Sus scrofa: one gene and its partner. The protein of the gene in region 2 purifies or fractionates together with the protein of the main gene of each other region. This does not show direct contact. Links are inferred from orthologs where the notes say so. Each region holds a gene or a part of one and is shown on either strand. Other genes may lie near its edges.

Region 1 (3,831 bases), on a different chromosome or scaffold from region 2:
CCTTTCTTGGGCCACTCCTGCGGCATATGGAGGTTCCCGGGCTAGGGGCCTAATCGGAACTGTAGCTGCCGGCCTATGCCAGCACGGGATCCCAGCCGCATCTGCGACCTACACCACAGCCCATGGCAATGTCGGATCCTCAACCCACTGAGCAAGGCCAGGAATCGAACCCACAACCTCATGGTTCCTAGTGGGATTTAACCACTGAGTGACGACGAGAACTCCCGGGTTAACTTCTTTTAACAATGCCAGGCTAAAGTGTTTTGGTGGAGAAGAAAAGATGGCATAGTATGTGGTAGACCCCCAAACAGTTTGGTCACTTACCCTAATTAACACTTTTCCCAATATATTTGCTTCTTACTTATAAATTATATGTGTTTCGTTATCATTGTCGGTCTTAAGGTTAAAATGTATTAAAGCAAGATTTTTCATGATGAGATCTAAATCTGTTTTCAAAGCAGCCATCTTGGTAGTTTTAAGGTTCTTTGGTTTGACTTGTAAGATCCAGTTGTATTTTTCTGTGTAATGAGTTAATAAAGAGCTGAACTGGTCAGATCCAGTTGTATTTTTCTATGTTATGGGTTAGGAGAGAGAAGTATTACTTTTGCCTTTTTTGTTTTGCCCTTGTATTATTAATATTTTGTTTAATCCGTGGTTTCTTTGTAGGAATCTTTTGCAGCTTATCCATTGTGTGAGTAAAAAGTAAATCACATCCATAATTCCACTGAACTGGGCACACAAAAACTGCCATATATGTCACAGTATACTGAAAAAGAGCCGGCAGGTAAGCATGATGTTGCTGTCAGTTCCTCTAACATTGTGGACTTCCTATTTTTCCCTCCATATTTCTTGAGTACCATATGTGATATATGACCATGGTATTACTTAGGGCCAGTTTTAATCCATATATTAAATATTTATAAAGCTTAATTTCTAATATTGATACAAAAATGAGTATAAATAGAAATTCTTATATTTTCTTTTCACACTCCCTTGGCATCTATTTTGCTTTCCACTTTGGAAACTATTCTTTTGGTGTTTAGGTTACTGGACAAGTTACTTAATTAATTTTAACCCTAATTTTTTGATATTTAAAAAAAATGCAATATTCACCTCATAAAGTTTATGAATCAATCATGTAACAGTGCAATACTTGGTATTATATATTATAAATACATATTTGTTTTTCTTTGTGCTTAGAAACAATTAGATTTCCTATTTCAGTGTCACAAAACAAAAAATACATAACTATTTCATTTATTGACTGTCCCATATTCTGTGAGAAAATATTTTTAGTTCCTGCATATATATGTAGACCCAATTGAATAAGCAAATGTGTAGTATACATGTATGATGATACATACACACGTGATATACATGATATATTATCATGTATATGATCTATACATATATGATATACATACACACATGGGATATACATGATTATTATATATGTATACTATTCATTTGCTTATTCACTTGGGTCTACGTATATTATATGACAATGTGCTACTTAATAAAGATGCTACTGTTCGCTACTGTATATCCCTTCAGAATCAGTACTTAGTATTCAGGTTGTTCAGCTGTTAATGGATTTTCTCACCTTATGTATACCATTGGTAGTTTTGAAAAGTGGGGTAGCATGTGTTTGACTTGGCTCATCACTGTTTTCTTTCAGAGAATTTTCCTTGGCCCTAATTTTGGCAGGTTGTTTAATTGTGGTCCACTTGGTTCTTTATGATAGTACAGGTACCATTAAAGAAATTACTTTTCATCTTTGGAATGTATTCACTTTTAATGTAATTTAGTCCAATATACCTGTGTGAGTAATTCACTTAATGAATTTGTATTGAGCACTTATATGTAAGGTACTTAGATAATTTGGAGGATCATTCTCCAATTCTTAAGGAGCTTTTACAGTATAGAAATTTGGCATGTGAAAAAAAATTTTGGTAGGTTACATTATAAAAATTCTGAAATACATTTAAGGTACCAAACTTTAAAAGATATATTTTTGGGGGGTAAAGAGGTCACATAATTCTCCTAATGTATTTCATATTTACTTTTCAAGTAAGTTTGTGTAGTACTAGTAAGGTGCACTTGATGTTCAGTAGCTTATGCTTTGGCAAATAATAGATACACGTTGAAACATTACCCCAAATATCAGAATAAAAGGTCAGAATAAAAGAGGCTGTGCCCCTTTTATTTTTAACTCTGTTTTCCAGCAATGGATCAAGAATCCAGCAAGGCTGCCTGGCCCAAATCAGCAGGAGGATATCAGACAATCACAGGCAGGAGATATGGCAGAAGACATGCATATGTCAGTTTTAAACCATGTATGACCAGGCATGAAAGGAGCTTAGGTCGGGCTGGTGATGACTATGAAGTGTTGGAACTAGATGATGTTCCAAAAGAAAATTCCTCAGGTATGTAACATGAATTATTTTTAATAAGCATGTAAGAATTGGTCATATAATATTTGAAATATTGAGTCAGTTTTATATGTAGCTGAGTATAAATGCTATACATTTCCTATTAAGAAGTTCTGTTTTTAAATTTTTATTGAATTTAATGTTAATAGTATATAAACTTAAACAAAGAAAATAGAATATGGCCAATCATTATAACTACTTAGGCATGGCAGTGATTATATTGTCACATCCTTCAGCCAGAGGAAATCTTCATGTTTGAATCAAAAAAAAAATTGTTAATGTGAACTGAGTATATTTTCCCCTGCATATTACATTTAAATAGCTTTTTTGTTATTTTATTTGTAACTAAATAATTTTTTTTAAGAATCATCATATAAAATACAGATGTCAAGCAGCATTTAATTATTCAATTAAAATTTCTTAATTGTTCATTGGTTCGAAAAAGTATGTTGCACATATCCATGTGCTATAATTACATGTTTTTTGGACTGGAATATAATCTTCCTCTTTCCTGAGCAAAGTTGATAATTCTAGATTATTTTTACTGTCATTTATGTACAAGAATCTGAATTATTAGCCAAGGTCATTATGTTAAAGAAGGCCTTTTGCGATATGACAAGACTTCCCTTCAGTTTTTTATAATTCATAAATTTTTGTTCCAGCTATTCTCAATGTCTTCATTTTTGAAATTATTACATTAGTGATGGTAAAGATAGTCGTGCTTAAAATAATTTTTAGAGTAGATACAATTTTACTTTTGTCTCAGAATTCTGACAAACTATGTCAGAAACACCATTGTATTTTTTGTTGTTTTTCAGTCATAGTTGTGAGGTAGCTAAAGTTAATTCATTTTCATAGGTATCTTACAGCAGTTCATTTTGGGCATAGAAATCTAATATTATGTATCTAGATACAGAGATAATTTTCTGAAATGACATAAAACTCAATAGAATCTTATTTCTGCTAGATCTGTAACCTGCTCTTATAGCTGTTATAAGCACCTTAAAAAGCTGTGTGTAGTAAAAGAATTTAAGTGTGAATTGTACTCTCCAACAACTGGGAGGTTACTCTTTGACTTCACTTTGGTCTCTCACTGTGTAGTGTCTCATTAGCCTCCCTTTTAAATGTCTTTTAGAGATTGTTTTAGGTTTTAGAATGGTTAAAAACCTACAGAAGACATCTGAGGGACAGTATGTCGAGAGGCTACTAAATTGTATGAATGAACTCATAGGATGACCATTCTGCCCTCCCAGTTAAATTAGGGAGTCTAGAAGCACATGTCAGAGAAATTTACTCATATTCTCAAATAGGTAATAATTGGTACAGTTTCTTCTTAAGAATTGTTATTAAATAAAATCTATCTAAATTAATTCCTCTACATATGTTTTCTTTTGTTCTC
Region 2 (3,831 bases):
ACACAGACTTTCTTTCTCTTCTCTTATTTGGCTGCCCTGCAGCGTATGGAGTTCCCAGGCGGGAGATCAGATCCAAGTCGCAGTTGTGACTTATGCCACAGCTGCAGAAACACCGGATCCTTTAACCCACTCTGCTGGGCTAGGGATCAGACCTGCAGCCAAGCACTGCAGAGACACTGCTGATCTCATTGTGCCACAGTGGGAACTCCTACACAAACATTTTAACACAATTCTGGGAGTTCCCTTTGTGGCTCAGCAGTAATGAACCCAACTAGTATCCATGAGGATGTGGGTTCTATCTCTGGCACCACCCTATGGTTAAGGATCTGATGTAGCTATGAGTTGTGGTGTAGGTTGCAAATGCAGCTCGGATCTGGCATTGCTGTGGCTGTGGCCTAGGCTGGTAGTTAGCTGCAGCTCCAATTTGACCCCTAGCATGGAAACTTCTGTATGCTGCTGGTGCGGCCCTAGAAAGCAAAGGAAAAAATGAAATACCCCCCCCCAGAAAAAGGAAAAAACCAAAACAAAACAGAATTCTGCTGTTATCTTTCCAGCTGTGGATTTCTTCAACCAGATCAACATGTTATATGGAACTATCACAGAATTCTGCACTGAAGCAAGTTGTCCAGTCATGTCTGCAGGTCCAAGGTACATATATTGGCTATTATATTTGCGTTTGAATTACTAAATAAAGCTAATCACCAATTGATATAAATTAAATAATAAAGACTTGTTTTTCTCACCTATTTACTTGTGAAAACAAAAGGCTTACCTGTAAGCTTTTAGTTATTAAATACTTTGGTATATGCTACCTGGTATGTTGATTTTTTTTTTTTAATAATTCCATTATAGTAAGTATTAATGTTCAGGTGTAGGAGCGAAGGTAATTCGAGTTAGGTTTATCTTGCTTTGGAAAAGTTATTTTTTCAATTTTATTGACAGTTATGGTTCTGTTTCTGGTTTTTAAATTAATTTCTTGGAAGAGTCTTTACTTGACCCCTAAAGACACTAAGTTTAAAATTTTGGGGGAGTTCCCATCATGGCCCAGAGGTTAACCAATCCAACTAGCATTCACAAGGATGCTGGTTCAATCTCTGGCCTTACTCAGTGAGTTAACAATCCGGCATTGCTGTGAGCTGTGGTGTAGGTCGCAGACGCGGCTTGGATCCTGTGTTGCTGTGGCTGTGGTGTAGGCTGGCAGCTGTAGCTCTGATTCAGCCCCTGGCCTGGAAACTTCCATATGCCATGGGTGTGCCCCCCTCAAAAAAAAAGACAATTTTTTTTTTGACTAATAAATTCCAAGAAATATTGAGAGTTGAAACTATCATTCAAAGTTAAGTCAGGAGGTGATGAAATTAATAATTTAGTGTTTCCTTCCAGTCTCTTTTCCTCTAATAAATGATTTTATGTGATGATAGATGGTAATCAAGATGTTTACCTCTTGGCAAAAAATTGTCCTTTCTGAATCTGCTACAGTTGTAAAGGAAAAGAAAAGTGAGTTTGAATCCTATTTTTTCTTTTGGCTGCACCTGCAGCATATGAAAATTCCCGGGCCAGAGATCAAACCCGTGCTATAACAGAGACGTGAGCTACAGCAATGACAATACCAGATCCTTAATCCACTGCATACAAGGGAACTCAATGAGTCCATTTTTATTACATTATTTTAGGAGGATTTTGATTTTTTTTTTTTTTTTTTTTTTTTTTTGCTTTTTAGGGCCGCACCCATGACATACAGAAGTTCCTGGGCTTGGGGTTGAATCAGAGCCATAGCCATCGGCCTACACCACAGCCATAGTGATGCCAGAGCCGAGCTGTGTCTGCAGCCTATACCATAGCTGACAGCAATGCCAGATCCTTAACCCACTGAGTGAGGCCAGTGATGGAACCCACATCCTCAGATTCTTACTTCTGAGCCACAACAGGAACTCCAGGAGGAATGTTTTTTTATTTTGTGCGGTGTTACAGTTTTATTTCTCAAACTTCCTTAAAAGAAATTTAAATAAAACAAATAGAAAACACTATCTTTGGCTTAAGTGCTTCATACAGTGAAGTTGTGATTATCTTATTAATCATTCTAGCTCATCAAAGGGGAGGTAGAGAAAGATTCATGCCTTTTTAAAGATCTTTTTAACGATCGTTTCTTTAAAATTCCCTCCAAGAAACAAGAGTTTATAATTTTGGCTTTTTTTTTTTTTTTTTTTTTTTGTCTTTTTGCCTTTTTTAGGGCCGCTTCCTTCGGCATATGGAGGTTCCCAAGTCAGAGCTGTAGCCACCAGCCTACACCACAGCCACAGCAATGCTGGATCCAAGCCAAGTCTGCGACCTACACCACAGCTCAGGGCAATGCCAGATCCTTAACCCACTGAGCAAGGCCAGGGATCAAACCCGCAACCTCATGGTTCCTAGTCGGATTCGTTAACCACTGCGCCACGACGGGAACTCCAATTTTGGCTCTTTTGATGATTACTGAACGGCCAACAAACTCAGAATGTGGTGGATCCATCAGCCCCTTGCCCATTCTCAGCACCTTTACCTAACGGACAGGAATGCAGTTCTTTTGTCTTTCTCAGGGATGTGCTATAAAACATATTCTGGCACAGCCAGCTACCACACTATCTTCATTTTCTCTTCCATTTGTAACTATCACATTTCAGAGTATGGGTATAACTTATAGTTAGCCCTTCATATCCATGATTCCACTGCATCCACGGGTTCAGCCAACTGTGCATCATGTAGTGTAGTATTTACCATTGAAAACTATCCTTTGCAAGTGGACCTGCACAGTTCAAACCTGTGTTGTTCAAGGCTCAACTGTAATTCTCTAGGGAAGTTTCAAGTCATCTTTAGGAGAACTTTAGGTAATTTACTAAAGGAACTTCTGTTGACAGACTGTGAACCTACCTTGATTACAACATGTTTTTGAAAATTTTGTCACTAAAACTTTTTCTCTCCAGATATGAATACCATTGGGCAGATGGTACTAATATTAAAAAACCAATCAAATGTTCTGCACCAAAATACATTGACTATTTGATGACTTGGGTTCAGGATCAACTTGATGATGAAACTCTTTTTCCTTCTAAGATTGGTGAGTTAATGTTATAGAACTAATTTTCTTTTTACTTTTGTTTTATTTTTAAAAATTTAATTATTGTTGACTTACAGTGTTCTGTCAGTTTCTGCTACACAGCAAAGTGACCCAGTTAAAAATACATTCTTTTTCTCAGTTTATCCTCCATCATGTTCCATCACAAGTGATTGGTTATTGTTCCCTGTGCTAGGGAGCAGGATCTCTTGCTTATCCACTCCAAATGCGGTAGTTTGTATCTACTGATCCCAAACTCCCAGTCCACTCCCTCCTCCTTGGCCACCACAAGTCTGTTCTCCATGTCCATGAGTTTGTTTCTTTTCTGTAGATGGGTTCAGTTGTGCCATATATCAGATTCCAGATATAAGTGGTATCATATGGTATTTGTCTTTCTCTTTCTGACACACTTCATTTAGTATGCGAATTTCTAGTTCCATCCATGTTGCTACAAATGGCATTATTTTGTTCTTTTATGGCTGAGTAGTATTGCATTATGTGTATATACCACATCTTCTTAATCTATTCATCTGTCAATGGACATTTAGGTTGTTTCCATGTCTTGGCTACCGTAAATAGTGCTACAATAAACACGGGGTTCATGTATCTTTTTGAATGAAAGTTTTGTCTGGATATATGCCCAGGAGTGGGATTGCTGGATCATATGGTAGTTCTGTATTTAGTTTTCTGAGATACCTGCATACTGTTTTCCATAGTGGTTGTATCAATTTACATTCCCACTC

Evidence for each region.
Region 1: the proteins of MOB1A (region 2) and PJA2 purify together in Homo sapiens (affinity purification with western blotting; 3 studies listed by BioGRID). This does not show direct contact. The link is inferred for Sus scrofa from reciprocal best matches to the Homo sapiens genes MOB1A and PJA2.

Annotation. Positions count from the first base shown.
Region 1 is NC_010444.4:114,368,123-114,371,953, reverse strand, and holds part of PJA2 (E3 ubiquitin-protein ligase Praja-2), read left to right. Parts: intron 1-666; 5' UTR 667-753; coding exon 754-784; intron 785-2,225; coding exon 2,226-2,426; intron 2,427-3,831.
Region 2 is NC_010445.4:68,862,289-68,866,119, forward strand, and holds part of MOB1A (MOB kinase activator 1A), read left to right. Parts: intron 1-554; coding exon 555-648; intron 649-2,957; coding exon 2,958-3,091; intron 3,092-3,831. UniProt on the Homo sapiens protein: Activator of LATS1/2 in the Hippo signaling pathway which plays a pivotal role in organ size control and tumor suppression by restricting proliferation and promoting apoptosis.